Linked DNA regions of Rattus norvegicus. The protein of the gene in region 7 interacts with the protein of the main gene of each other region in a biochemical or structural test. Links are inferred from orthologs where the notes say so. Each region holds a gene or a part of one and is shown on either strand. Other genes may lie near its edges. The genes, in order: Vdr, Thra, Esr2, Esr1, Rara, Hnf4a and Med1.

Region 1 (3,137 bases), on a different chromosome or scaffold from region 7:
AAGAACCTAGCCCATCACCTGGCCATTTCGTAGGCCTACATTGACTTTTTGGGTGGTAGAATGAGAGTCAGGAGGAACCGGCCCCAGATCACTGTACCACAAGCTCTGACCATCCCTCCACCTTTCCCCTGAGGGGGGAGCATTTGTATCTGGCCTTACATCTGGAAAGGAGGCTCGGAGGCCCATTTGGGCAGCTGTTGGTCTTCTCCCATCCCATTCTATTGGGCGGACAAGGTAGCTCTCATTGGTGTGTGTGTGTGTGGGGGGCACTGCTGCCAAGATGACTCCCGGGATACTCCTGGTGGTCAAATTGGGAGGTCGTGTGAGGCCAGAGGACCTGCTTTCTTGGGTAGGTGGTAAAACACTGGCGGGGTAAGGGATGGAGACAGGGCTATGGATTTCCTGAAAGTTGGGGACAACTTGGTCCTGACACATCTAATAGCTATAGAGGAGAGGTCCCAACAGCTCCAGGCTTCAGAACCCTCAGCTTGATGACCAAGATAGATGGACCTTCATTCATTGTTCTGCTGGGAGGCTGACTTTCTCTGTTCTTCATTACTTGGGCCCTGTATTCTATCTCCTGGGGCCTTTCCAATGGTGGTTTCTAGGTCCCTGGTTCTGGGCATGGGGAAGAAGCCCCCTGTACCACAGGTACTGGCCCTGGGGAATTCCCATGGCAAAACCTCAAAGGTGGGAACTGCAGGGCTGGGTGAGTGCTCCTTGGTTCGTGTGGTAGTGTATTTGGTCATCTTGGCAGTGAGTGAGCCCCGTGAGTATAAAGGCAGAGGAAGGAGGCCCCTCAGTGACCTACTCCCCCGGGTCAGAATAACACAGACAGGCGGCAGGATGAGACGGGACACAGTAGGGATGATGGGTAGGTTGTGTACCCTTCGCAGGCAGGGGCCAGATTTCTCACCAGGCTTTGGGCAGGTAGGGCTGGAGTGAGGGGAGGTGCAGGTACCTGTCCCTGAGGAGTGAATGCGTCTCTTCTGCCTGCCTCCCTTGACACAAGCAGCAGCCCCTTGTGGTGGAGGCATCCCCTAGGCAGAGTTCTGCCTTCAGCCCCTGCCCTCTATCCCCAATTGAGTTCCTTTGTCAGATAAACAGCAGCCTCTCCTAACTGAGGTCTCAAGAGACAGGAGCAACTCGAGGTCTACAGGAAAGGGAGACCAGGTGTTAGGCTGGGCAGGAGAAAGGATGAGGCAGACAGACAGAGGCCATGGCAGAGGAAGGACTGAACTCCAGAAAGGGCAGGAGGCACTGCTGGGCTGCAACCAGCCCAGGGCCTGGGCACAGGGCTCTGGAGGAGCGGCCCTACCCAGGCACCACTGTGGGCCACCCTGGTCAGGAGATCTCATTGCCGAACACCTCCAGCACAAGGGGTGTGAGCTTCATGCTATTCTCGGGCTGGAAGGAGAGGGAGCGGTATTGTTTGGAGTGTTCCTCGTTGAGGCTCCGCAGGTCGGCCAGTTTCTGGATCATCTTGGCATAGAGCTGGTGGCTGCCTGGGGGCGGGTGGCGGCAGCGGATGTAGGTCTGCAGCGTGTTGGATAGGCGGTCCTGAATGGCTTCCACCAGCTTGGCGTCCTGGACCCCAGGTCGGTCTGTGTCCCAGGGGATGGAGGGAGACAGGATGTTCACTGTTCAGTTTCACAGAATCCACCATCACCCAGGTACCCCATGCCAGCATCCCCCTGATGACATCCCCTGCATTTGGGACCAAATCCTTTCGCGGGCTCATTTGGTCCTGTTCCCACCTCACCCTACTTCTTCTGTCTCTAGGTTCAGTCCTTGCTTTGGAACTCAGGTACTTCCTACTCTGGCTAACAGACCTCCCCGTTGCCTGGAAATCAGCTCTCGTCTTTCCCCCCTGACCAACCGGTTATCACGGAACAGGCGCAAAGCGCTTTCTGAAGAAGGTCGTTCCTGGTAACCCTCCATCTCCACGCCCCCGTGACCTATACCAGGATCTCTCCGGCAGCATCTTCATATTCAACATTCTCGTAATATTTTGTTTTCCTTTAACTCTCATGGGAGAGAAGTCTATCCTTTTTACTGCAACTCCCTGTGCCTAGCCCAGTGTCTGGCCATAGTAGATGCTCAGTTAATCATTACTGAGCGTGTGAATAAGTGAACACACGTCAGCTAGACAGCAGGAGGGAGGCATATGTCTGTCCTTTGGGCCTTCAGACTAGGCATTCCTGGCCATAGGCCACTAGTTTGTCCCCTGTGCACACATGGTCCAGGCTGAGTCAGGGCTCTGTTCTTTGGGTTTTATCACCAATTTCTTCAAGATCACAACAACTTCCTTCTCAGTGTCTCCTCCCTTTGGGTTACAGCCTCCAGCCTCCAAAGTCAACTCAGGCAGAAGCATATATTAGTCCCCAAGGATTTGTGCCTGCATCGGAGGAACTCAGGAGACTGGAAAGTTCATCCGAGGTCACGCAAGAACAGAGCCTGAGTATTAGGAACACCCAAGTCCCATGAATAAGCTGTGGAACCCTGCTCATCTGGTTCCTCAGAATCCTATGAATCACCTTGGCCTGCATAAGACAAAGCCACATGTGTCAAGCGACCCCTCCACAGGCCTTCTGGGCTGTGCAAACCCAGCAAAGTGAACATTTCCTTGTCACTTCTCTCGTTCATTCCTCCCCCAGACTTCCCTGCTGGCTCTGAGAAGCTCTCTGTCATTCACAGTCCCCAACGTGTCCCAGGTCCCTCAGCTCCTCCCTGCCAGGCTCCGTACCCGGGGAGACAATGCAGATGGCCATGAGAAGGACATGCTCTTCCTCATGTAAGTTCAGCTTCTTCAGCCCCACCTGGAACTTTATGAGGGGCTCGATCAGCTCCAGGGTGTGCCCAGCTGTGAAAGAGAGCAGCCAGGGTCAGGTAGAGACATTCACCCCTACCTGAAACCCCCCCTGGGCATTACCCCTTCCCTCCTCTCTCTTGCTGCCCACTCCCCTTCCCCGTATCTGGTCAAACCCCCAGAGGTCCAGTGCCAGGATAGAGGTAGAGTCTGGGAGCTGGAGGAAGTATAGGAGGACGCCCTCCACACCTTTGGAGACATCGGTGACGTCGTACTTGTAGTCCTGGCTGCCACAGTCCCAGGACATATCATCCATGGTGAAAGACTG
Region 2 (4,650 bases), about 510 kb from region 7:
AGCTGTCGGGACATCTCTGAGGTGGGTCTCAGAAGCTAGGGATGTGAAGAAAGGCCCCGAGTTCTAATTCAGACCCCGCCTGGGTCCAGTCAGGGGAGGAGCCTCCTCGCTGGCTCCTTAAAGAGCTGTGGCTTGAACCTAAGGTCCTCTCACTGAATTGACCAAGGTTGGCTGGATGGGCCTGCCAGCTTGAGGGGTCAACACATGCAGTAGCCTATTCCCCTTCCCTCCCCATTCCCAGCCCCCAAAATTTGCTGGCCAGCCACAGCTGTGGCGTTGAGGAAGCGCAGGATGTCCTGAACAGCCAGCTGAGCACGCCCCCCCCCCAACCTCCTACTGACCCCAGAGGAAGGCTGGGCGGGCCAGAGGGCCTGAATCTGAGTATTAACAACTGGAAAAGTATGAAGAATGTTGTTGCCAGCTTGGAGAAAAGAGGCCGTGGCAGAAACAGAGAGGAGCACAGGGCAAGACAGAACGTTACAAACTGGCGGAGGAACAGCAGGAGTCAGACACCCCAAGACAGCAACAGAGAGAGAGAGACGGAGTTAGAGAGAAATTCCAAGTCAAAAATACACCTCACTCACTCAGCCACTCGCCAGCTTACGGCCTCCTAAGGAAAGCTTCCAAGTTTGGACAGGAGGGCCAGAGGTGAGAAAAGGGGCGGATTCGCAGTGGGAGGCTAGCACTCAGCTGGGGACAACTAAGGGTCCCCAGGAAAGGCCCAGCCAAATGACCCCAAGCAGAGGCAGCTAGGTCCACACTGGCTTACAGGCTAGGGATGAGAGGGCCAGAGAGCCACTCCCAACTCTTCCCCAGACACCCCTCCCCCAGCAACCAGGACAAACCCAGCTGCTAGAAGTCACTGGACACTGCTGCAGGCCTATGACTCGGCCCTCTGGAACCCCCTTGCACCCACTTTGCTCTTGTTTCCCCTGTCCCTCTAAAGAGGGGGCGGAGGGGGGGAGCCCATTGCTACACAGTGCCAGAGCCTAAAAGATAGAAAGAAGCCAAAGAGAAAAGTCTGTGATTATGTGCATTTAAGCGCCTTCCCGCCCCCAGCTACAATGTGTCAACCTGCAGGGTTATCTGGACACTGCCAGGTGGGACCTGTGACTTCAGTCGGAGCCCTGTGCATGGCCCCTGCACCTGTGAGACTAGGTGTAAAAAAGTGCACCTGTGCCTAGAGTTCCCACAGTCAATCAATTAACAAGTGTTTACAGAGCACATACTGTGCTAGGCTCTGGGTGGGATCCAGGCTCTTCTAGAGATTCTCCCATGTCTTAAGGAGCCTGCCATCTAGTAACTGGTATGGCCAGTGACAGAAATGAAACTATTTTATCAGGAATGCATGCTTTGCACCATTTTTGCAGAAAAGTCTTTTAACACAGATGAAGGTGATTTCCTCCGTAGCAGGGATTTTATTGTCTACAGAACCTCAGCTCCACAGATGAATCCAGGAAAATACTTGTTGCTAAATTGTGTACAAATGTATTGATGTGTAGCCTCAGGTTTGTTTGTTTGTTTGTTTGCCTGAGTGACAGTGACTGTCATGGCAAGCAATGATGGCTGCTGCACGACTGGGCACATGTGCACATGTGTGTGCTTCTGAATGATAAAGTCTTTTATGGTCGTGGGGCTGTGTGCAAATTGCCATGTGTGCATGCATGCATGCATTCGATAGTGACTTTCTCGGTGTGGGTGACAGCGACTCCTCCTTACCCCGGTGTGTGACAGCAGCTCCCTGTGAACCTGTGCGTGGGTATGTGCATAGGCTGTCTCTCCGCTCTGCTCTTGGTCTCCCGTGGGTGTGTCCCACCCCAGGAGCTCCACTATGCAGTGGCGGCCTGCCTCTTCCCTTGTCCCCATGTGGGTGTGTCCAGCAGCTCCTGTCCTTGAATCTGCCTGGGTGTCCCCGAGTGTGCATGTGGCTGTCTGTGTAGGCATATCTGTGTCTGCATGTCACCTTTGCCTCCCCCTTCATCTTGGACAATGGCCCCCTTCATCCCCTCCCCCTCTTGGGTCCAGAGCCAGCATTCTGGGGCAGGCTCCCATCTCCCTGGCTTTCCTTCTGTGTGCTCCCCCTCCAGTCCCTAAAATGGGTGGCTCTCTCCATTGCCTCTGACATCTTCCCAGGCCTTCTTTTCACACTGGACAAGGGAGGGCCCAAGACAGAAAAGGGGCATCAGAGACACGTTGCAAAGGGAGGGAAACAGGGGAAACATGCACAGGCGCGCGTGCCCGCGTGTACACACACACACACACACACACACACACACACACACACACACACACACACACCACGGGTCCATTTCTTCCTCTCTTCCCCAACCACAGGCCAGCAATTCTAATCATCCAGGGACCATCAAGTACACCCCCACTACTACACGCTCACACTCCACCCCCCCCGACTCCACCCCACCCGCCGCGTTTTTGCAATTAGGAGTGTTGCAACCAGAAAGCCATGCTCAACTGGAGAGGTGGGGAGGGGAGGGGGGCTTCTCTCTCCCCCAGCCCATGCAAGCCCCCCCACCCTGCCGCACCCACATTGCCCTCCGTAGCTAGAGGCAGCTTTGCAAAGGCTATTCGGTCTCTTTGGCTGGGGGCTTGGTGGGGGTGGGGGGTACACGACAGGCTTCTGGCACACCGTAAACAAACCGCGGCGCGGCGCGGCGGGCGGGGGAGCTTCGGCAGGCAGCGGGGCCCATCCCGGGAATGCGCAGCAGACCGGCCGGACAGAGGCCGGGGCGGGCCCTCGAAGGGGAGGCCCAGACGCCATCTCCGCGGGCGAACCCCAGGGCCCACCGACCACTTAACAGCACCTTCCTTCCCCAGGGCGTAAGTGACTAGCTCTCGGGCTGTGACAGGGTCACCCGGGCGCCGGGAAAGGCTGAGGTCGGCGGCGGGAACCCCCTGGGCGCCCCCAGCCCGCCTCCGAGCTGGCCAGAGACCCGCGGCTTTGCATAATCAATCGCGATGCATTTGCATATTAATGCCCCCTCGCTCCCTCCTCCTTACCTCGGCTTGGCGCGCTGGACCGAGCTGAGCAAGGACGCGGGGGTCTCAGCGCCCCGTGCCGGGGGCGTCCATGGGGGGCCGGTGGGGCCCGGGCCGCCCGCCTCCAGCGCCGGGGTGTGAGTGCGAGTGAGCGCGGGGGGGCGGGGGGCGAGTGTGGCGGCCCCGCGGCTCCTCCGGCAGAGGCGGCGGCCGCTCTGGCTCCTCCCTCCCCCGCCCCGCTCCGGCTGGGGCTCCAGCTCCGCGCGTTCGGCCGGCTCGCGGCTGCTCCCTGCAGGCCGCCTAGAAGCCGCCGGTCCCCGCCCCTCGCCCCCCGCCGCTCCCGGGACCCTGGCCTACCGCCCCGCAGCACATCTACCTCCTTGGCCCCTACCAGGCTCAGACTCACCCACCTCATCCCCCCTGCGGCTCTGTCCAGGAGCGACGCTCGGTGAAACGTTTTGAGAAAGATGTCATTTTCAGATATAATAGCTTTCACTCGCGGGGAGAATTGGGGGGGTTTCTGGTTTGTTCCCTGGGGTAAGGGGAGAAGGATGGAGGAGATCTCTACACCTTATAAATCCGGGAGGAAGTCCAGATACCAAATGCTAAGGGTAGTTTGTTTCAGAGTTCGGGTCCCTTCTTTCGGAGCAACTCCCCTGTGTGACCTTGAACGAATTACAGCTTTCAGGGTAAGAGCTCAAAATCCAAGAGTTGCACAGATTACTTCTGAAATCCTCCTAACTTCAACCATCCTATTTTCCAGCCCTTTTGGAGGGTGGTTCCATATTGTGCCTCCTCTCTCGTCTTTTAACATTAATGCTGGATCCACTGCCTCCTCTTGCAAACGTCTCTGTTCTCCATAGAAGCTCTTCTATTCACTGCCCACCATCCTTTCCCCAACAATATACTCCTATGCCAAGCTTGGGGAATGGGGGCGGACAAGACTGGCTAGGACAAGACAGCCCCTTATCTCCCAGCTTCACTGAGGTGATATTTCCTCTCCCGTTTGTACCATCAAAAACCAAATGGTTCAAGAGCCAACCTAAGGAGCGGAGTGACTGCAGAAAGGTGGACTCGTTTTCTCAAAGGAGAGGTCTCCATGCCAGTTCCGGACCCTTGCGCGCGCACGCGCACGCACGTGCGAGACACACACACACACACACACACACACACACACACACACACACACACACCTGCATTCATGGACATAAAATCCTGCCAGTGACGCCAGAGCCCCTTTCATCTCGGGATCTACTACCGCCAGGCAGAGGTCTAATTACCCTAGCACCCCCCTCTGGCCCCGCCGGTTCCCCCGCTGTCATTAGCCCAGTTTTACCAGCGGGGGCCATAGCCTTCCCACGGCTCCCAGGGCGGAGCCCTGCCTCCACAGCCTGCTCTTGGGGAGGAGCCAGAGAGTGTGTCAGGGGAGCTGCTCTTCTAACCGTTCATACTGGATAGAATCGTTTGCTGAGTGGGATGCTGACCAACAGTCTATCCAAGTCGGGCTGTCCTTGCTCATCCTAGTCTCAGCCACCTACACCCTGAGCCAACGGAGTCACTTCTCGTACAAGAGGTTTTAAGGGTTTGCAAGGGATGAGGAGAAGGGAGAATGCCTCTCTCGTGGGGCTCCTGATACAAAAGGAGGGACGCTGGGTG
Region 3 (4,043 bases), on a different chromosome or scaffold from region 7:
ATGCACACAGCACGTGCGCACGCATACACACACACACACACACACACACACACACACACACACCCCTATAATAATGAATCCTTTTTAAAATACATATTGGTGTTACAACTACATGTATTCCTGTGTGGTGCTAGAAATTGGACTTGGGTCCTCTGGGAAAGCAGCTAGTACTATTCATCGAGCCGCCTCTCCAGCCCCAGTAAATAATTTTTGTTAGTTTAAGACTAGCTTGGGCTGTGCAGAGTTCTAGGCTACATTGTGAACCCATCTAAAAGAAACAAACAAGCAAAAACCTTTCAAATCTGAATTTCAGAACATCTGAATTGCTCTGATCAGAGGGGAACTAGACCTGGGCCTATAATCTACTGCTCCAGTTATCATAAATAAAAATACTTAATGAATATATTTCACCACTACCACTCCACGAATACCCCCAGTGCACAGAAGCAGAGACAGGATGGAGGAAAAGCTGTAAGGCTAATAAATGAAGAAGCCAGTACCAACAGGTGGCCATCCGTACAGGGTACACTTCAGCGACACACAGAGAGATGGCTCATGCCTCCAGACTCCAGATGTCACCAGTGTTTCTCTCTTGAGGCAAAATGTCCTATTTATCTAGAATTATCAATGGACAAGTTAAATTGTCATTCTCAGTCCGGTACCCCATGTGCTGTTAGTGAGTTGAGAACTTGAACTGAGCGGAAAAGGACCGCTTGAAGCAGAGATTGCCTGAGAGGAAGCTTAGGGGAGAGGACAGAGAGACAGAACAGAGACATGCCAAGGAAGGTCATAAGACAGTGACTTTGGAGTCAGGGAAACACCTCAGTAACTCAGCTGCCGTGGTGCAAGCCTGAGGACTTGAATTCAGAGTCCCAACACCTAGGTAAGCCCATGCTTGCAATCCCAGTGTTGAGCCAGCAAGATTCTGAAAGCTTGTCTTGTCAGCCAGTCCAGCCCAAAGGGCAAGCTCTGGCCCCAAGTGAGAGATGCTGTTCAGAAAATAAAGACAGGGAGTGCTGGAGAGATGCCTCAGTGATTAAGGGCCCTTGTTGCTCTTACAAAGGACTCTGGTTCAATTCCCAGCACCTACCTGGCAGCTCAGAACCATCTGGAACTCCTGTTTCAAGTGATCTGATGGTCTGTTTTGGCCTCCCCGGGCACCAGGCACATATGTGGTACACAGACACACATGGGGCTAAACCCTTAAACACATACAGTAAAGTAATTTTTTTTTAAAGAATTGGTTATTTATTTTAAGTATATGAGTACATTGTAGCTGTCCTCAGACACACCAGAAGAGGGCATCGGATCCCTTGACAGATGGTTGTGAGCCACTATATGGTTGCTGGGAATTGAACTCAGGTCTTCTGGAAGAGCAGTCAGTGCTCTTAACCTCTGAGCCATCTGTCCAGCCCATAAAATGATATTTTAAAAATAAAAATTGAAAGCAATAGAGGAAAATACCAGATGTCTATCTGTGACCTCCACACATATGCATACACACGTGCACACGTGTGCCTACACACACACACCTCTCCACACACATGCACACATGTCTACCTGCACTTCTTTACATACATGTACCCTTCCACACACACAAAAATAAATACCTTTAAAAGAAATAAGTGACTTCAGTACTTCAGGGCTTGTAAGGTAGAGGGGCGCAGGCGAGGGAGAAGTGTCGAGGACAATCAGGCTGGCTAGCCTTGAAGCCAGGTGTGCACAGTTGAAGTTTATTAAAAATATGAGTAAAAAAAACCAACACAGGCTCTGGGGTAAAGGCATTTGTTGCCAACATGAGGGCCTGAATTCGAGCCCCAAGACCCACAAAGTGGAAAGAAAGAACTGACTTCAGCACATCGTCCTTCGATCTTCCACACCTATGCTGTGGCCTACTCATGCCCTCCCCAACACACACAAATTAACAGCAAACACATCATGAACAAGTACACACCAAGTAAGTAACCACCATCAAAGACTCCTGGGAGGGTCAAGGAGACAGTCTGATGTCAGATCAAAACTAGGAGATTGCAATCCGTGAGTCCAAGGACGACATACTTCTCAAAGTCTGCTACAGTTAATTCCTGATCATTTCCATAAATTTTAATTATTCTTTTCCCCTCAGGAGCCAGCCCACCATCATGATACAAGCATAGCCCTATATTAAACATAGGACAAAACGAACAGACAGACAGACAGACATGCTTTGGAGCTCCTGATAAGCACCGATTTTTTTTCCTAGAAGTATCTTTACAAGGTTGTAAATAGATATCTTCTCTCCTTTTCTAAATATCCCCCTTACCTAGTTAGGTAATGTAGGGGCAAACTGACTTCTATAATCTTGAGGTTCTGGGGTAGAAACATGTAATCCAAGCACCCACATACCCTCACTCAACCCATGCCCACACACAAATATTCCAGCTCATGAAGTATAGCAGCCAGGCCAACATGACCATTACATCAGATCATCTGTGCAAAACTCCTTGCAAGCTAAGGTGTGACTACTAAAGAAATGATTATCATACCCTCGTACCTTGAATGCTTCTTTTAAAAAAGGCCTTACATCCTTCACATGACCAAACGCCGTAATGATACCCAGATGCATAATCGCTGCAGACGGCGCAGAAGTGAGCATCCCTCTTTGCGTTTGGACTAGTAACAGGGCTGGCACAACTGCTCCCACTAAGCTTCCTCTTCAGTGTCTCTCTGGTGGGGGGGGGGGAGCAGAGAATATAGCCATTGTCAGAGGATACAAAGGAGAGGGGAGGGGCTTTACAGGAAAAAAATAGCATGAGCTTTGCCAAATTTAATCTCTTTGCCTTCCAGGGCTAGGGATAAATATGTTCCAGGAAACCTGATATCAGATCGCTGGGAGCTCCAGCGTGGGGGTGATTGACATTTGAGAGCCCACCTGGGTGTTGGGGATTTAGCTCAGTGGTAGAGCGCTTGCCTAGGAAGCGCAAGGCCCTGGGTCAGCTCCGGAAAAAAAGAAAAAAAAAAAAAAAAAAAGAGTGAGAGCCCACCTGGTGAGGACAAGTCCTCAGAAGGAAGGCTATAAAGCAGGCACCTCCGGGCTGGGCTGGGAAGAGCCCAGCAGAGAGGCAGCAGGGACAGCTGCACACTCTGCCCAGGGGCTGATTTTACCAGGATTTGTTTCTTTTGGGGAGAGAGATAGTAAATCTATTGCTAGTCTAGAAATGATGAAAAGACATTTCACCCTTTAAAGAGGGGTGAGTTAAGAGCACTCGTCTTAAGACAGGACTCACAGTTTTTATATTTGTTTCTCCTACCAATAAATGAAAAGATTACGAAGAAAAAATAATTGTGTATTTTCTTAAAGGTTGTTTTGGTTCAGTTTGGGGCTCAGAGATGCTAGGTTTTGGGGTGCTGCGGGTTAGACCCAGAGTCCCAAGGATGTTAAACATGCCTCTAGCTCTGAGGTGGGCCCTCTGGCTCCTGGCTCCTCTAACACGGGAAATATTGTTATAAACAAAACATTTAAAACCCAACACCTTTGCCCAAATCAAACTGATGTTAAGTTTTATGTTGCATAAAGAGACTATCCATTATGGTGAACTCTCTTCATAGTGTTCATCCATAAGCACAACTTTTTGAGAACTGGAACATCAGAGTAGGACAGAGCAACATGTGTCCAGTATCCTAAGAATGTAGGTGGCCAAGTAAAAACCTTTACTTACGTCTTCCTTCGTACTAACCTGCAAAGAGAGGAGCATGCCACCACCCATGATTTACAAGACTTACCTGTTTACAGGTAAGGTGTGCTCTAGTGATCTTGCTTCACACCAAGGACTCTTTTGAGGTTCTGCATAGAGGAGCGATGATTGGCAATGGGTCGCTAAAGGAGACAGGTGCCCAGAAGTTGGCCATAGCACATTTGGGCTTGTGCTCTGTCGGACAGGCCCACCGTCCAGGTTACTGGTGCTGCCGGGAACACTGTAGTTCATCACAGCAGGACTGTAGAATGTCATAGCTGAATACTCATGGCGGTTGTCTACGTAGGAGGAAGGGATGTAGATGGGGCC
Region 4 (4,618 bases), on a different chromosome or scaffold from region 7:
TCTCTGTCTCTGTCTCTCTCTGTCTCTCTGTCTCTCTCTCTCTCTTTCTCTCTCTCTCTGTGTGTGTGTGTGTGTGTGTGTGTGCACGCGTACTCGCATGTGATAGGTGGATCCCAAGAGCTCACTGGCCGAGTAGCCCAGCCAGCTTCCCATTCCCTGTCTCAAGGAAACGCTGTGGAGAGCAACAGAGAAGCACACCAGTGTCTTGCTTTGGCCTCTGCATCATGGACAGAGGTGTGTGCTTCCCTGTGTCTGTCCACTTATTCATATGCATCCCCTCCACAACAAAGCAATACTCGACACTTGCTTCTGAGTCTGATGGATGTTCTATTTAGAGAACTCCTGCCTTAGGTAATTTTCTTCTCTGGATTGATGTGTACAACTGATTCTAACAGGTAGCTAAATGCTATTTGAAAGCATGATTCATCCAACCTGGCAAATCAAATAACAGAGGGATTCAATTAATTTAGAGGGAAAAAAACCACTTGGCTTTTAAAATGTTTGAACTATTCAAAACATTTTGTTGACTCACTTACCTCTCACAGGAAATCATAATAAAAACAATAAAGCCAGGGCCATCTTTGCCATGCTGAGGCTATAAGATTATTCCTTCTATAAATGAGTCTTATTAAGTTTAATGTTCTTTAATTTGAAATAAAACATTTCAGACAAGAAGTAAAACGCATCCCACTCTGTGAGGTCTGGGGGAATTAAATTCAGACACATTTGTGTATTTGAATTATTTTGAGGCCAAACTCACTAGGGTATAGAAAACCGAAGACAACTACGACAATTTATTATAATGAATGTGTAGATCATCAGTCATGAGACATTTGGAGTCTTTTCTTTTCCCAGCCAGTTCTGAGATGCTTTTCTTACCCAGCATGCACCAGTGTTCATGCATAGGGATTGAGACAGTGACCAGAGGGGTCTCTTCTGGTCTTTTGCCTGCTACCATTCTTATTTCCAGAAAAGCATTCTTTCTCAGACTTATAGAATAGGAGAAAAAAACCACAACAAGACATTAAAACAACAACCCAGCATTTAAAGCACATGTTACATAAAACACAACAGATTTTATGAGCTATTAAAATTTCAAAAGGTCTAAAAATATTAAGGGTCTGTGGATCAGAGGTAATGTGTTTGGTTAGCACATCAAAGTTTTGGGCCTATCCCTAGTACCAAAAAGGAAAATAAATTTAATATATTTTTAATCTCAGATTATTACTTCAGAGAATTTGTCTCTGAGTTTAAAAAAAAAAGAAAAGAGAAACAAACAAAATAAGTTTTTAAAAAGTCAGTCATATTGGCTAATGCCTGTAATTTTAGCATTTAGGGATCCTGAGAGTTTAAGGCTCTGAACTGCAGAGTGAGACCTTGTCTCAACAAAACAAAACAGAACAAAACAAAACAAAATGCAAGATTAAATCCCCAAAGCAAACAGGACTTGTAAATCACATCAGGAAATGTCAAGCAGTTTATAGAAGGCTCATACACCTGAAGGATTTCAGAGTTAGCTCGGGCTAAGCTGGTGCAAGTTTCCAAAATCAGGAACACCATTAATCAGTGACAAGAATTGCTGAGCGACTGGCTTAGCTCTTTGAGTCAATGAGTGAAAGAGAAACTCTGAGAAGCGCTCACCTTAGAAACACCCTTATTACCCTTAGCTAATTTTGGGTGAGGAAAATTTGTGTGCAGAAAGAACGCTTTCTTATTTTATTTTTCCAAGTCAACATGCTCGTCTAGACTTTGAGCTTTATTGCAAGGAAAGAGAAAATGGGTTGGATCACCTTTAAAAAAAAAAAAAAGTCTCAGCTAGCTTCACCAGAAGCTTGTCCCTCTGCAAACATCTATCTGTAGGCAAACGCTGAGAAAGTTGGAATCAGGCCTGGCTGGAGAGAGGAAAGCCACCCCCTCCCCTATTATCCGGAGCAGAGTTTCCAATCCCAGTCAAGTGGTGGTGCTAGCTCTTTGCTTCCGAGTCTGCATTTCCTAATTTCATGGTCATAACAGCCTCCGAACGGATTCTACCAAAACCGAAAACACAAGGCTCCATGCTCAGCAGCCCTGTGACGCCAGGAGAGGCCAATGCCCCCTCCTCTGCCATTGTCTAGCCTAAGAAGGCAGTCTCTGGGCGACATTCTTCTAAAGCAGGTACTTCTATTTATCTCCATTTCTTTACAATTTCCCCCCCTTTCGGCTATAATGTGCTACTGTGTGCAATCAGGATGGAGTCTCAGAGTTCACTTCTGTGAAAATATGCCCATTTTTCTCTCGCTCATTGCTCCAGGGATATTTTATAAAGTTTCTGGCAACCGTTATCATGTTAAACCTGACCTTGGTCCCATGGAAATTCACTCTGGGAGCTACATTCAGCTGAGTCAGACACAGTTATCTGTTCGTAGTGCAGCACTGACAGGCTCTCTCTGCCTGCCTCAGATCGCGTGTATTTATTGGTCCCAGGTCGAGCTATGGGGGATTCTGTATGGTTGAAACGTGCGCGAGTTTAAAAAAGTTCCTGCTCAGACTTCCCTCTGTACTCGTCTCAACATGACCTCGTTTCTTAATCTTCGGTGCCGTGAGCTTATGTGAGCTTGATCTAAGCGACTGCAAAAAGCCATCATCTGTTTTCCTGAATAGGCAAACGAGTTTTCTGAAAAGCTACGCAATCTAGTAATGCATCTTGTCTTGAAGTTGCCCTACAATTGTAGGCAAGTTCTGAGCCCTGTGGGTTTGGGTTTGGTTCTCTCTAACCTGAAAATAACCATGGGAAACTGCTTTTTTTTTTTTTTTTTTTTTTTTTGAGGCAAGGTGGTATGCGGGTTAAGGACGGTGCCACAGAGCGAGTGCCACTTGTCGGTGACGTGGTAGTTACAAAAGGCAGAAAAGGATACTTTCATTTTGGCCACAGGAAAGCCACCCGTTTCCTGTAGTGGAAAGTCTCATGCTTGACCAAGAAGTTGCCAGTGTTTGTTCTCTCTGACTTGCCCAAAAAAGTCTAGCTGGTTAAAATTTATTTTAATTTTTTTAAACCTAATGTAAGGGTTGGGTTTTATTAAGATGATGTTCAATCGTGACATGCGGTACCACTCAAGGGTGCCAGATGTTTTAAAATTAGCTTCTTGGGCCAAATCTAATAGATTTACAGAGCACCTCCACCCACAAGGTTTATGGGAAATGTATTTGGTTTTGAATTTGAAACAATAATGTATGCAGAGAGGACGGATGTTGGAGTACCAATTTAAAGTATTTGAACTTTTTTTTTTTTTAACAAAGTCAGTAGGGTGGGAACCTCTGTCATCTCAGGGATCAGAAACCTATTTATATTCATTAAAATTCTTTCCTGTTTCTCAAAAAAAAAAAGGCGGCAAATGTTTGCCCACATTTTGTCAATAGCCCCTGAAGGCCCATTCTAGGCCCTGTACAGCTGTAATGCTATAGAGGTTGGATCCAGTCTTGTAGCGACTGGTGGATTTTTGTCATAGAAATTAGAAGTAACACTGACATAGAGATGAGAGACAAGGCAACCAGGAAAATTGGCAAAATATTGAGTGTGAATGCCAGGGTTATATTCATGAGTGGGAGGTGCTGTTTTGACACGTGAAGGTTGTTGTTCAGTTTGGTTGCCCACGACAGTAAAGGAAGAGAATAAGACAACTTGCTTTCCTTCAGCCTTTCACTCAGTTTAGGACTTAGAACCACTTGCTTCTCGTCGTCCTCAGACATACAAACTCCTAAGCCCGTAGACATCCCACCAGATGCCTGCTGTGTGTGCTAACACAGGTGGTTATCTCTGCCTGTCTCTGTACTTTTGGTCCACTTGGTCAGAATGTGTGCTTGAGATGAGGCCACAGTTGAGCTGAAGTTTGTTCCATGGGTACAGGGAGGCTGTAGAGAAAAACAGACAAGAGAGACCACCATGCCTCTGTTCTGCTAAAACATGTAGGAGGTGTGATCCTGTCCATCCACCTCTGCCTGGGTTGACTGGCTGTTGTTTACTGAGAAAGTGATACCACCTATGAGGTTCCTGCAAAGAGCCTAACAAAGTGTGTGTGTGTGTGTGTGTGTGTGTGTGTGTGTGTGTGTGCATGAGGTATATGTGTGTAGGGGCATGTGTGTTCCACAGTGAACATGTGGAGGTCAGAGGACATTTTGTGGAGTCACTTCTCTGCCATCTTCTCATGGGCTCTGGGGATTGAACTCAGGACACCAGGCTTGCTCAGCAAGTACTTTACCCCTGAGCCATCTCACTGAACCCCCTGATGCTCTTTTTAAAGGTAAGCACTTTACAGGTAACTTTTGCTAAAGATAGTTATGATAGCTGTGATTTCTGTCTCTCTAGCAACATTTCAATAGTCTTCTTCTACATCAGCCTAGGTTAGCCTAGTTAGGGTTCTGGTTAGCAAAACTTCATGCATGACTTTCTAGGGTGTGTGTGTGTGTGTGTGTGTGTGTGTGTGTGTGTGTGTGTGTAGACAGCCTCCAGCCGTGTGATGAAGCTTGCATGTGAGCTGCGGGTGGTGATGGGATGTTAGACAAAGTGTCATGTCTTCCTTGCGGTGTCAACCTCCTTGTGAGATGTTCTGTGGTGTGAGATGCGTGCGATGTAGGAGAAGCA
Region 5 (3,948 bases), about 740 kb from region 7:
CTGGGCCTGTAGAAAGCACCCCATCTTGAGTCCCCTGCCCAGACAGGGAGAAGAGAGGGGAGAGGCAGAGAGGCAGAGGCATTATAGAATAAATAGAACTTTATTCTTTCTCCAGTAGATCTCAGTGGAAACCCAGCAGGAACAAGTGCACCAGTGGGCTCCAGGGTGAGACCCCACCCAGGCAGGAGGGCAAGGTAGAGCCTGCTCCCCCAGCCCAGGGGTGTAGGGGAGGGGACCCCCTGGAGTCCCGTCCTGCGGGGCAAGGAGGGGGCTGAGGGGTTAGGGGTAGGCTGGGGGGAATTGGAGGAACTCAGGCCAGAGGTGTGTGTGTGTATGTGTGTGTTTGTGTGTGTGTGTGTGTCCACGCATGAGTACATGCGCATGTGTGTTGGAGGGCCCCATGGGGTGCTGGTGGCTATGAGGCTGGGGGCTGGGGTAAACTTGGACCCCTTAGCCGGCCCCTTCACAGTGGGGCTGGGGCTTGGATGAAGTGAGCTCTGACGGGCAGTGAGGAGTAACAGCCTACTCATCCCAGGGGCCCTAGCTTCACCCTTACCCTGCTTCTTGGTGAGTAAGGAGACAAGCCAAAAGCCAGGATCTCCTCCTCCCAGGGGTAGCTGCCCAAGATGCCCACACCCAGTGGCTAGGCAAAGGGAGGAGGGAGCTGCTTTCCTGCACAGGGTAGGGAAGGTGGCCTTGGAAAGTTAGTTTTTCACAGTATTAGAGAAAACTGAGGAGAAAAGACTGGAGGTGGGAGCATCCGCTCGGACATCAGGGGAGAGGGGAGCCCTTCTGAGCCCTGCCCATCCCCAGGGCCCACCCCCTTCAGCTCTAGATCCAGCTCCCCCAATACACAGCACAAATTCCTTCAGTATAAATGTGCTTAAAATGAAAATTCTTATTAAAAAAAAACAAAACAAAAAAAATTAAAATAAAAACAAAACCATCGAGAATTAATATCTGGGGGTTGGTACGCAGGATATGTACAGGGGGTCTCCCCCACCCTGGGCATCTTCTGTCACCATCCGAAGCAGGGGGAAGTTCCCCAACTGGGGGGTGATGGCTTGAGTTCGGAGGACAGGGAGCCAGGCCCTGGTGTTTGCTGGTGATGAAGACATGGCAAGCTGGGTGAGGGCTCAGGCCCAGGTCCTCACGTGGCTCAATGCCTGGCCCCTGATGCCAGCCCAGGCTGCCAGGAGAGAGCAGTCCATCTCAGGGTCCAGGCCTCTGTCCACAGAGTCACTGCCTTCTCCCTCCTGTCCCCCCTGGAAGGTCCCCAGTTCTGTCCGGAAGGACAAGCAGGGCTGGGCTGATAGGTCACATGGCCAGTAGGAAGGCAGAGAAAGCCAGGGCAGGGGTGAGGGCTGTCCATGTGTCGAGGTGGTCATGGGGATTGAGTGGCTGGGCTGCTTCTGTGGGAGCTGGGACTGAGGCTGGGGCTACAGCTACCCGGAGGAGGGGCCAGGCCACCCCCATCTCGTGTTCCGCCCCCCGACTGTCCGCTTAGAGTGTCCAAGCCCTCAGAGTTCTCCAACATTTCCTGGATAAGTGGTGGCATGGAACCAGGGATCTCCATCTTCAATGTGATCACCCGTTCAGCTCCTGTGGGGGAGGAGGGGGAGGTCAGAGAGCCAGACCAGAAGGGGAGGGTCACGGGGCGAGGGGACCAGTACCACCCACGTGGGCATCTACCGCACATTGCACCTGGGGGCTCAGTTACTTGACATAGGCCAGCTCTCCTGAGCCCCCAGTGTGGAGACTGGGTGAAACATTGTGAATTCAGGCTTCTTGTTTAGGTTTGGCCCCAATGCCCCGTGTCAAGGGTTATCCAGCAGACGCTTCCAAACATTATCATCCCCCCACCGACACACACACACACAGGAAACAGGCTCAGAGCTGGCAAACGCCCTTTCCACAGACTACACCCACACAGCTTATTATAGAGGCTTGTCTTAAAGTGGAAAAGTGACAACTAGAGAGCCACGGCTTAAGACAGATGGGGACATGCCGATTAGGAAGACACCGTGTAGACACCAAGACATGAGGGACCAGCTTGACTGTGGACAGCAGGTCCCAGGCCAGTCCTGGGTGGGCCTCCCTCTAGGTCCATAGTTCTCAGCCTTCCTAATGCTGCAACCCTTTTAATACACAAGTTCCTCCGGCGGCGGCGACCCCAACCATAAAATCATTCCATTGCTACTTCAAATCTGTTACTGTTATGAGCCCTCATGTGAATGTCTGACATGAGACTCGCTGTGAGTCATGTAACCCCCGAGGGTTCGTGACCCCCCCACCCATGCTAGAAACCACTGCCCTAGGTGAAGGCCACCAGGAGACTCACCCTTGGCGCTGATACTCCGAAGGTCCGTGATCTTCATCAGCATCTTGGGGAACATGTGGGGTCGGCTGGGCCTCCGTTTCCGGACATAGACTTTCAGTGCTTCCAACAGCGGCTCCTGCAGCATGTCCACCTTGTCTGGCTGCTCCAGGTCCTGTCGGTCTGAGCACAAAACTGTCCCTGAGCAAGAGCCCCAGCCCCAGTCCCAGCCCCAGCCAACTCCACCGACCAGGAATACAGTTGCATTCCCAGATATGGCCACTTGGGGGCGGTGTGCCCAAGCCACAGAGGGCAGAAGGCTGCTCCCACACACCTGGCCAGGAAGGGTCTCTGGGCTCGTAGGCAAGAGATATACTTTATACTCTAAAACAAGAGTGGGGTGTGGGCTTCTCAAAGCTCTCCGTAGCAGCTGTGTTGGTGGATATGGAAACCCCTGCCCCAATGCGGGCGGCTCCCCTCACAGAAAGCAGGGGATTCCCAGCAGGTCTCCCCTGCCACCATCATCACTACAGCAGGGTGACGCCTCCTGAGAGCCACCTGCGCCTCACCCACCTCCACAGATGAGGCAGATGGCACTGAGCAGTCCGGTCTCAGCATCGTCCATCTCCAGGGGCAGCAGCTGGTTGGCGAAGGCAAAGACCAAGTCGGTGAGGGGGCCAAAGCCAGCGTTGTGCATCTGAGTCCGGTTCAGGGTCAGTCCATCTGAGAAGGTCATTGTGTCTTGCTCAGGTGTGTACCGCGTGCAGATTCGCAGAATCTGGGTGCAGAGGATGTATACGGGTTCAGAGGCTGGAGCGCCCCCAAGTCCTGCCCCAGCCCCTGGCACACCAGCTCCAGCATCCCCCGGAGGCCTCTCTCTCCCTGGCAAGCAGCCAGAGAGCATGGCTGTCTGACAAGAATTTTCTCCAGTGATGGAAAGGTTCTGTCTGCAGCATCCGAGACGGTAGCCACCGGCCCCATGTGGCTGCTGAACACTCGAGATGTGGCTAATGCAACCGGGAGACTGAACTGAGTCTGATTGTAATTAAATTTAAATAGACGCGCATGCGTATCCAGGAGATTGCTCTGGCCAGCAGATCTAGGCCATGCTGCCTTCGTATAGAGAAATCAGGAGGGAAAGGAGTTTCCAGCCAGCAAGAAACAAGGCAGATCTGTTCCTAGGACCATCCCATTCAGCTTCAACACTTTGTGCCAATGGCGCCTCCCACATCTGTGCACTGGGGACCGGGCACATGACACCCTCCCCTTCCCAGCAGACCTGTCCGTGCCTCTAGTTCTCTACCTACGATGTGTCTGGAAGACATTACCGGGAGTCCTACTCTTAGCCTTCACTCGGACAATTCTTACTACATCCGGCATCCACAACTCAGGCTACCAAACGCTCCAGCACTGTGTCCCAGCAGCAGGCCCCTCTACTTCCTGCTCCCAGGAATGGCCACCTTCCCGTGATACAGCTAGGTGGACAGGAGCCCACAGTGGACTCCGGGAAAGCATCAGAAAGTGACTGCCTGGCTGGGAACAGACCCTACAGGGGCAGGGACCCGGGGTTGAAGAACAGGGGCGGACTCTCACCAGGATGTCCAGGCAGGCAGCCTTGAGAAGGGTAATCT
Region 6 (4,677 bases), on a different chromosome or scaffold from region 7:
GGTATGCTGAAGCAGAGACTCTGAGGTTTCATAGCGTTGGATCTAATTCCCAATTGGTCTCATGGTACTGGGCTATTTCTTGTCATTGCCCCCCTCCACCTGTCAGACAGAGCATGGTCAGCTCTCGGAGCTGTCCACAGTCAGTGAGTCAGTCAGCTGGAAATGCTTGGCACACGGTAAGTTCTAGAACTGTCTGTGAAATTAAACTCTTCTCGGCAGCCGAGAACTCCCTCAGCAGGCGTCTTGTATCTGTTCCTCATTTCTGCTGTCTTCTCGCTGAACCGTTCCTAGGACTTCTGAGTGTTCAGAGCGGAGCCCCCTCCGGCTGGTGAATTATTCCCAAGGCAGGGATAATTGTTAAACTTCATTGGCTCTTTCTCCCTTGTCCTCTCCTCTCTTGACCCCCGGGGAGAGCTGAGCCCGCAACTTGGGCAGAGGACGGCAAGCTGTCCCCTTGATGGGCAGCACGGACTAGGTACAGCCAACTGGATCAACTCCCCCTGAGGTCAGCAGGTCACTTCCATTTCCCAGTTAGGAACACCGAGACTCGAAGAGAACAAGGGACTTGTCCAGTATCATTACACTGCTGCCAGTCAGAGGGGCTGGGCCTATGGGTTAATATACTGTGCTCTCTAGCCATGTTGCCCATGCCTGGAGATCTGTGGGGACCCTTCTGCTCTCTGTGAAGTGGGGATGGATTGTGGGAACAGATATCCTTAGCACTTCTAGCCATTAGCTCAGGATGGACCCCAATCCCTTTGGAGGACAGCCTCCTATAACCTCAACTCTCAGACCTCTGTGAACTCCAGAAGGGCATATGACCAACATATGCCGACATATGCCAAGTCCTGGAGACCACCCATGGAGGGATCAAGCAAGCACAAGGAAAGACCTTGTAAACCTTATATGCCGTTCAATCTATCCAAGTTTTACAGATGAAGAAACTGAGACTGGGGAGGAAGGGTTTTTCCAGAGCTGGGGGTGACTGATGTGTCCTCAGGACATTTAATCAAGGGCTCGGCCTCGGGTACAGGAACACAGAACTCTCAGACACTGAAGGGGCTGTGTGGTGGCCAGGAGTGTGACAAGTACTGTCCTCCCTGGGGGTGGGGGTTGGGGGTGTCACGTGCTACCACCTCGGGGCAGAAGCAACTTGTTCACCCTAAACACTTCTCTGAGTACCTCCTCTGAATCGCCCATGGCCAACAAGGCTGGGGTAAAGGAACCCATTTCCATACTGCATAAGAGGCGAAAGAGGTAACATACAGGAGGTCACACAGTACTAGGGGCAAGCGGCGGGGGTGGGGGATGGGGAGGACTGACCATGGACAGAGCCCACGCTGCCTCCTCCTTCTGGCTAGATCAAGAGTGCACAGTTTTCCAGACCTAAGCCTTGAAACCCAAAAGCTGTGTCGTGGAGTCATAGAAGGAAAGTGGTGGCAGGGCCAGCCTCAGCCAGGTGCCATCTCCCCAGTGCTAGCCCGGAACCTGGTCCCATCCCTTCCAGAAGCTTCTCATCCTCCAGAAGTGGCAAAGGAAACACCCTCCCCCCACCCAACCCCCACGGACATATTCTCGGTGATATTGGAACAGGTGCTTGAATGATGGTGACACAGGGACAACAGACACAGACACACATGCTGCTGCCGGGAATCCTAAGTTTTGGAATACAGTTACGGTTAAGACCCTCACAACATAACCATGGTGTTTTGGGAATCTGGGTCAGAGGACCTCAAGTTCCAGGCTAGACATGGGAGTATGTTCTAACTTTCAGGCCAGCTCAGGAATGCATACTCTCTGTATAAAAAACAAAAACAAAAACAAAAACGAAACAAACAGAACCAAGCTGGACCCGGTGGGTGCATGCCTTTAATCTTAGCACCTGGGAGGCAAAGGCAGGTGGAACTCTCAGTTTGAGGATAACCTGGTCTACGTAGTGAGTTTTAGGACAACTAGAGCTATGTAGAAACCCTATCTCAAAAATATATATATAACAAACAAACAAAAAGCCCTGTCCAATGGCGCTACACAATCCTGTACAACAGAGAGCGGTGCCCAGTAGCACAGGGGCTGTATGGACATGTGCTAAGAAAACATGCCATCCAGAGTCACCAGGCCAAAAGCACAGGGTATGCCCTCATTTACAAGCGTGTCCACTCTGTCACCCACATTTACAGATACTAGACATACATATATTCAAGCCAAACAAAAAAAAAAAAAAAAAAAAAAAACGAAATGAAACAAAAACCAAATGGTCCTGGAGACAGAACTACAGACCATTTGATACATACAAATGAAGCCGGGACACAAACTCGAAAAGGGGATCAGACACACAGCTGTATTCCGGCATTTGCCACGCCACATACAAGGACACCTAGGACCGACCATGTAAACACCACTGTATTGGCCTTTTAGCTGGGAAGTCTGAAAAGCCTACTTTTCTCCTGAAGTCCAGTTTCCCAAAGTCTGAAATGTAGACATGCCTCCTGTCACAATCTCTAGAGACAAGACAGACCTTTTGTTGCTTACACAGAAAAGGGCCCGGGGACCTGGAAGATAGGGCCATGTTGGATAGGATTGCGGTAGCCACCCAGAGGAAGCTCACGATCATGGCCCCATTTCCTGGTAAGCAGGGCAGCGTAAGACCCCGGGGCCTAGGTAGGGAGGATCTTGGGAAATTTTCTGTTGGAAATCCACCTCTGTAGGTCTCGGTCACCCAGAATATCTCTGGCCACAGTACAAAGGCCCACTTGCTTCACCTGACAACACCTGTACGAGTCTATAGGGCCAACCTACAGTTTTCTGTATCTCCCCTCCCATCCCAAAGTCCAGTGCCAAAGATCCGTTCCATACCTGGGCATGATTGCCCCCACCTACCATTGCCCATGGTCAACACCTGCACATTTTCAAACTCCAGGGTGGTGTAGGCTGGGTCCAAGGCAGCACTGTAGTCAGCCATGTCCATGTCGGCGAGGGTTTTAGAGAGTCGCATTCTCCTCTACCCACCCCTCAGCCCCCTGTCCTGCCCTGCCCAGGATGCTACCCAAGCCCCTGGGCTGAGCCCCAGCCCCTCCGTCCCCGCCCTCCTCCTGCCTCCTCCCAGGTCCCTTCTCTGCCTTCCTCTGTTTCAAACTGTCCTCTGGGAGATTCAGCCTGGCGTCCTGGCCTAGCCTCTGCAGAGGGTGGAGGCTCTGTGGGGAGGGGTGGGAGTTAATGGTTAATCACCCCCGTTGCCGGGTAGTCTGGGCGGAGTCACAGGGATTTGGCTGTTTGTTGGTTTCTGACTGACACCTGGGGTGCTAAATTACAACTGTTGGGCCCCCACTCATTAATATTCAGTTTCCAATCTTCCAAGACAGGCACCGAACAAGACTGGCACTTGTTGGACCATCGCTTCAGCAGCCCCCAAGTCCTACCAAGTTGGACATCCCAGCTGACGTTCTTGGACACTGAACAAGTCTACCACCATGAAACCCTAAACCAACCACTTCTCAAATCATTGACTTCCATCCTCAATTTGAGATAAAGCGGTCCTGGGTCGCTTGAATTAGAAACCTAATCCCCAAGCCCACACTTGGGTCTTTTGGATCCTTGCTGAGGAGAATTCTTCTGGTTCCCTTGTGGTTTGTCAGCTGTCTTTGAGAACCACTGGGACTCACCTTCAAGTCTCTTCCCTAGCCCCTGATAGCTCCTGGTTGCTCCAGCTGGACCAGACGTCATGGAGGGCTCTCTGTCACACCGAATGCTTCCACAGCACCTACCCCTCCCAGGATAGGCACAGACAAGATCTGCAGCCCTTGCCACCTGCTTATTGTGACTCTTTCCAAGCCTCAGTTTCCATCTCATAAAATGTACAGGGCCATCAGAAAGGGTAGTTTGGGTAATTCCTAAGATATAAAAATAACTGCCCAGGTGCACTGGCTAACCCCCAAACTCCAAGTCATCATTTTGTTCTGCGGTGTAGCCCAGGTTGGACTCAAATTCTTGACACTCCAGCCTTCCAAGATCTGGAATTACCAGGACTGTGCCACCATGCCTAATACCTGTTCTCATTTTGGGTCTCCACCTTCCCCTTTGCCTCCCTGTTTTTTTCTGTCCACCTCTTCCCTTTGGGGCAGGATTCTCTGCATGCCTTAACACTCATTCCACCCTTTTAAAGTTTGTTGGGTTTTTTAGATTAAAAATACACTATACGTAGGAGTTTTGCTTGCACGTATGTCTGTGCACCACATGCATGCCTGGATCTAGGGAGGCCAGAAGAGGGATTTGGATTCCCTGGAACTGGAATTACAGACAGTTGTGAACTGCCATATAAGTGCTGGGAATTAAACTCTGGTCCTCTGGAAGAGCAGCCAGTGTTCTTAACCACTGAGCCATCTTTACTTTTCTTTTAATGTTCATTTCATTGTCTACACCTTTTAAGGGGTTTAACCCTGGACCTGGAGCACCTGTCCTTTTGTGCAGTCCCTCTCTGTGTCCTTCTCTGCTGACACTTTTGAGATTCCCACTAGCTGAGGAGAGAGAGTCACAGATGGTCGAGTGTGAGGGCAGGATCTGAGAAAACTTCAGTGCCTGTCTTGCTCAGCTAGTCGAAAGATCAATTCAGAGGGCATGGTAACAACACAGAGCAATAATGAGAAACAGAGTCTGCCTTGGAGAGAGTGAATGAACCAGAAA
Region 7 (4,786 bases):
CCTATGAGTACGTGGAACCTTCCAGGCCTAGATGCATTTTGTTGTTTTGTTTGGTGTTAGACGGGGTCTAAAAAGGGTGGCTTTGAACAAATAGATCCACCTGCCTCTGCCTCTTAAGTATGGCATCAAAGTACTGTTTGACAATGCCTAACGCATCCTTTAAGAGCACTAGCTACTCTTTCAGAGGATCTGGGTTCAAGTCCCATCACCCACATGGCAGCTCACGGCCACATGTAAATCCAGTCCCAGGGAATCTGCTGTCCTCTTCTGGACTCTGAGGGCACCAGGTATATACTTGGTACACAGAAATACAGGAAGACAAAACCACTACACACATGAAACCCATATTCTTTAAAGAAAAAAAGATTTATGTTGTGTGTGTTTGGTTTTTTGTTTGTTTTTTGACTCATGCATGTATAACACGTCTGTGCAGGGAGGCTAGAAGGCACCAAGACTCCTGAAACTAAAGCTACAAATGGTTGTGAGCTGCCCTGTGGGCATGTGCTTCCTGGGAGCCAAATCTAAACCCATGCCAAAAACTCCCCAGCTCTGTCTCCAGCCCCTCCCTGCTTTTCCTTCATTTCAGACATTCTCTCGCCACCCCGCTGACCCCCAAGTCCATCTAGCTGAGCATGACCTTGGAGGCTGACAAGGTGGCTCCCTGAGTAGAGGCATCCCATGCCAAACATGAGAGCCTGGGTTCACGCCCCAGAGCCCACAGTAGCTACAGTAGACCACCTCCAAATACAGAAATATAAGGGGTGGCCTCCACATGCTTGTCCCTCTACCCGGGCTTGCATTACAGCCCAGACTCTCCTCAGTCATCTCTTGTCTCCTTTTCTTTAGCCTCCTATGGCTGTATGCCACTATAAACAGACGCCTTTTTTTTTTAAGACTTTTTATTATGTATACAGCATTCTACCTACATGTATGCCTGCAGGCCAGAAGAGGGCACTAGATATCATTATAAATGGTTGTGAGCCACCATGTGGTTGCTGGGATTTGAACTCAGGACCTCTGGAAGAACAGACAGTGTTCTTAACCACTGAGCCATCTCTCCAGCCCCCAGACGCCTTCTTTTTTATTTATTTTGGGGGGTTGGGGTTAAGACAGAGCTTCTCTGACTGTCCTGTCTCTTTGTAGACCTGCCTGGCTTCAAACTGAGGGATCCCCCTGCCTCTGCCTACTAAGTACTAGGATTAAAGGCATGAATCATCACCACTTGGGGACCAAATTCAGGCCTGTTTTCATGTATGCACAGGAAGCATTTTACCAACTGACTGGCAGCCTTTTTTTTTTTTTTTTTTTCTGGACAAGGTCTTACTTAGCCTAAATGAGCCTGAACTTGCTGAGAAGGAAAGGGCAGTCGGGAAGTCCTGCCCCTCCTGCCTCTACCTTCTCAGTGGTGAGACTACAGGTATGCAATGCCCAGCTTCTGTTCAAACTATCCACTGAAGCAAACAAAAAACTTGTAATTGCATACATAGGGATGCAATACCTTGAAGGATATATTTTGAGCACAATTTGAGCTAGGCATTTCTATAATTAGTTTTTAGTATGAAAACAATGACATCATTCATTTTTGTTGCTTTCTCCTTTTTTCCTTTTCTTTTGGTGCTGGGGATTGAACCTGTGGGCAAACGACCTTGCTCTAATATCTGCAGCCTCTAAATTATTTTTAAATTAACAAACAAAGCAATGGGTATCATTTTGGCATTCTTATAGATGTAAGATGTTACACTGGGTCTGAGTCTTCTTCCTCTGACAGCCACCCCTGCCCCAACCTCAAAACAGTCAAGGCTTCCATTTAGTTCAAACTCCATTTACCTTTCTATCCTGAAGATCTCCTTCTTTCTCACATGGTCCCATATTTTGACAACCAGTACACCACGCCAACACATACTTAAATTGAGATTCCGCATAAGAGAAAATGTGGTATTAGCTAAATACAGCTTATTTTGAGTATCGTCCACTTTCCTAAAAATGTCGAGACTTCATTTTGGATAAGCCAGTCTATCTGAGTTAAGGTTAGGAGGGGGATAGTTAAACCAAGATTTAAACTCTTAGCTGGCTATGATGGTATGTTAAGCTGGCACTTGGGAGGCTGATGCAGGAAGACCTTGTCTTGAAAGAAAACAAAAAAGACTCAATCCCTTCCCTTTTCTTCCTTCAACTGGGAAAGTGGTTTGGGTTTTGTTCCTGCTAGTTCATAGTTCTGAATACATTTCCCCCGAGCTTTAAAGCCATTATTCAGGAACAATTGAAAGAGTAGTTTTTAAAAACACAGCACAGTATTTGAACACTATGACATTCCAAGAAACTACTAGCTTTTATTATAATAAAGACCGCACCATGTCACTCACACCAAAACATCCTCCATCACTTTGACACATTGTTCTAGTGTCATCTTCAGCGATCTCTCCTGGAACAAAGCATCAAGTTTCAGTTTCACTCTCCTGGTAACCCACCAGGCTAAGCTGAAAGTAACCTGAAGCTCATCTACTTGTCCCTAGTCTTGCAGAAAATCTTTCACAAGGGGAGGCGAGGCGGAGCGGAGCCTCAGTGTAGGAGCTCCAACATCCGTAAAGCTCGGTCAGGATCCACCTGGATCCAGTTCCGTGCACAGTGGCCCTGGGGGGACGGGGGGGGCGTGGGTCCCCACCTCCGCTCACAGATTGGCTCCCCACAGTTGTGTCCCGCCCCTTCTTCCCCCCCACCCCCTAGTCACTCACCCTCGGTTTCCCCCTGAGCCTTCATCCTGACAGCGGTGAGGTCTTGGGTCCGCCACAAGCCAGGGAGCCTTTCCCCACCACTAAGAGGGGAACCAAGTTAGCCTGGACTCCGGGGAAGCAGCGCACCAGCGGCCCCCACTCTTCCGGGGAAGGTTCAGTCTGAAGTCCCCGGCGGCAAGAAGAGAAGGGTGCTCGCGGCCGCCGCCATCTTCCCCAACGGAACTTCCCAAAGATCGCGAGATTAATCGTGTTCCTGCAGGCAGAGGAAGAAGGAACAGCACCAAAATCTCGCGGAAATTGGCTGATTCGCCCTTCCCGCGGGATTTCCAACAGGACTGTCTCCGATTGGCTCAGTCTTCACACCTTTCCGTGGAAAGAGTTGACATCTCTTAGAAACTTTGCATCTTGTCAGATACACGTTTGTAAATTAGAAGCGTTAGCTCTTTGGCGCAGCGTTGGTGGCGCAAGCCTTTTATCTCAGTAGGCAGTGGATCTCTGAGTTCGAGGCCAGCCTGATCTACAGAGTGAGCTCCAGGACAGCCACTGCTACAAAGAGAAACTCTGTATCAAAAACAAACAGGGGTTGGGAATTTAGCTCAGTGGTAGAGCACTTGCCTAGCAAGCGCAAGGCCCTGGGTTCGGTCCCCAGCTCCGGAAAAAAAAAAGAAAAAAAATTTAAAAAAAAAAAAACCAACAAACAAACAAAACACAAAGTACAACAGAAAAAGTTAGCTCTTTGAACGCCTGGAGAAGTAGCACATTCCTATAATCCCAAAAAGGAAGGAGGATCGCAAATTCATAGCCACTTCAAGCTCCATAGTGAAAACCAGTCGTTACGAAATAATCTCTCTACTGAAAGATTTCCAATGAATTTTAGTATCCGTAATGCCAAAGGCAGTCAGGTTTGCCTGGCTGTGGTGCGTGCCTTTATTCCCAGCGCTCCGAAGGCAGAGGCAGGTGGCTGTCTGTGAGTATGAGGCCAACCTGGTCTACAGAGTTTTTGGACAGCCAGGACTGCACAGAGAAACCCTGCCTCGGGGCTAAAAGTAAGATTTGTGATATGACAAGACGTGCAACTCACTAGTAGCACACATGCTTCATGTGCCTGAAGTCCTGGGTTTAATTCCTAGAGAAAGTGGGAAGGTGAAATTTCCTGAAGAACAAGCAGCAGTTATGTTGTTTAAGAGAAAGAAAGAAAAGGGAGGGAGGGAAGAAGGGACGGAAGAAGGAAGGGACTGGGGTAATTCCTATGGCTGCTTGCTTTGCATGCAGAAACTCTGGTGTTGATTCCCAGCACAACATAAACCAAGCTTGGTGGGCTTATCCCAGTGTGATGTTTGCTCAGCCCAGGGAGTGGCATTAAGAAGTATGGCCTTCCATCCAAGTACTAACCAGGCCCGACCCTGCTTAGCTTCCGAGATCAGACGAGATCGGGCGCGTTCAGGGGGATTTAGCTCAGTGGTAGAGCGCTTGCCTAGCAAGCGCAAGGCCCTGGGTTCGGTCCCCAGCTCCGAAAAAAAGAAAGAAAAAAAAAAAAAAAAAAAGAAGTATGGCCTTAGGGTTTGGGGATTTAGCTGGGGGGTGGGGGGTGGGGGGTGGGGGGGGTGGCATGGCCTTGTTGGAGTGGAGTAGGTGTGGAGATGGACTTAAATACCCTCAACCTAGCCCTATGGAAGAGAGTATTCTGATAGCAGCCTTCAGATGGAGATATAGACCTCTCAGCTCTGTCTGCCTGGATGCTGCCATGCTCACACTTGGATAATAATGAACCTCTGAACCTGTAAGCCAGCCCCAGTTAACTGTTGTCCTTATAAGAGTTGCCTTGGTGGGCTGGAGAGATGGCTTAGTGGTTAAGAGGACTGACCGCAGGGGTTGGGGTTTTAGCTCAGTGGTAGAGCACTTGCCTAGCAAGCACAAGGCCCTGGGTTCGGTCCCCAGCTCTGAAAAAAAAAAAAAAAGAAAAGAAAAAAAAAAAAAGAGGACTGACCGCTCTTCCAGAGGTCCTGAGTTCAATTCCCAGAACCACATGGTGGCTTACAACCATCTGTAATAGG

Evidence for each region.
Region 1: the proteins of Med1 (region 7) and Vdr form a complex in vitro, tested with the Homo sapiens proteins (5 studies listed by BioGRID). The link is inferred for Rattus norvegicus from reciprocal best matches to the Homo sapiens genes MED1 and VDR.
Region 2: the proteins of Med1 (region 7) and Thra form a complex in vitro, tested with the Homo sapiens proteins (6 studies listed by BioGRID, with this or other methods). The link is inferred for Rattus norvegicus from reciprocal best matches to the Homo sapiens genes MED1 and THRA.
Region 3: the proteins of Med1 (region 7) and Esr2 form a complex in vitro, tested with the Homo sapiens proteins (2 studies listed by BioGRID). The link is inferred for Rattus norvegicus from reciprocal best matches to the Homo sapiens genes MED1 and ESR2.
Region 4: the proteins of Med1 (region 7) and Esr1 form a complex in vitro, tested with the Homo sapiens proteins (6 studies listed by BioGRID). The link is inferred for Rattus norvegicus from reciprocal best matches to the Homo sapiens genes MED1 and ESR1.
Region 5: the proteins of Med1 (region 7) and Rara are reported together in a solved structure, tested with the Homo sapiens proteins (2 studies listed by BioGRID, with this or other methods). The link is inferred for Rattus norvegicus from reciprocal best matches to the Homo sapiens genes MED1 and RARA.
Region 6: the proteins of Med1 (region 7) and Hnf4a form a complex in vitro, tested with the Homo sapiens proteins (2 studies listed by BioGRID). The link is inferred for Rattus norvegicus from reciprocal best matches to the Homo sapiens genes MED1 and HNF4A.

What each region holds. Positions count from the first base shown.
Region 1 is NC_086025.1:130,866,402-130,869,538, forward strand, and holds the end of Vdr (vitamin D3 receptor), read right to left. Parts: coding exon 3,059-3,137; intron 2,864-3,058; coding exon 2,747-2,863; exon of another isoform or gene 1,783-2,746; intron 1,605-1,782; coding exon 1,345-1,604; 3' UTR 669-1,344; downstream 1-668.
Region 2 is NC_086028.1:84,196,638-84,201,287, reverse strand, and holds the start of Thra (thyroid hormone receptor alpha), read right to left. Parts: upstream 3,148-4,650; 5' UTR 3,016-3,147; intron 2,836-3,015; exon of another isoform or gene 2,681-2,835; intron 1-2,680.
Region 3 is NC_086024.1:100,631,058-100,635,100, forward strand, and holds part of Esr2 (estrogen receptor beta), read right to left. Parts: coding exon 3,763-4,043; intron 2,707-3,762; coding exon 2,534-2,706; intron 1-2,533.
Region 4 is NC_086019.1:43,509,990-43,514,607, forward strand, and holds the start of Esr1 (estrogen receptor), read left to right. Parts: upstream 1-1,700; 5' UTR 1,701-2,154; intron 2,155-4,618.
Region 5 is NC_086028.1:84,421,298-84,425,245, reverse strand, and holds the end of Rara (retinoic acid receptor alpha), read right to left. Parts: coding exon 3,911-3,948; intron 3,096-3,910; coding exon 2,891-3,095; intron 2,501-2,890; coding exon 2,342-2,500; intron 1,603-2,341; coding exon 1,385-1,602; 3' UTR 875-1,384; downstream 1-874. UniProt on the Homo sapiens protein: Receptor for retinoic acid. Retinoic acid receptors bind as heterodimers to their target response elements in response to their ligands, all-trans or 9-cis retinoic acid, and regulate gene expression in various biological processes.
Region 6 is NC_086021.1:172,640,291-172,644,967, reverse strand, and holds the start of Hnf4a (hepatocyte nuclear factor 4-alpha), read right to left. Parts: upstream 3,133-4,677; 5' UTR 2,993-3,132; coding exon 2,878-2,992; intron 1-2,877. UniProt on the Homo sapiens protein: Transcriptional regulator which controls the expression of hepatic genes during the transition of endodermal cells to hepatic progenitor cells, facilitating the recruitment of RNA pol II to the promoters of target genes. Activates the transcription of CYP2C38.
Region 7 is NC_086028.1:83,682,589-83,687,374, forward strand, and holds the start of Med1 (mediator of RNA polymerase II transcription subunit 1), read right to left. Parts: upstream 2,958-4,786; 5' UTR 2,758-2,957; coding exon 2,733-2,757; intron 1,903-2,732; exon of another isoform or gene 1,828-1,902; intron 1-1,827. UniProt on the Homo sapiens protein: Component of the Mediator complex, a coactivator involved in the regulated transcription of nearly all RNA polymerase II-dependent genes.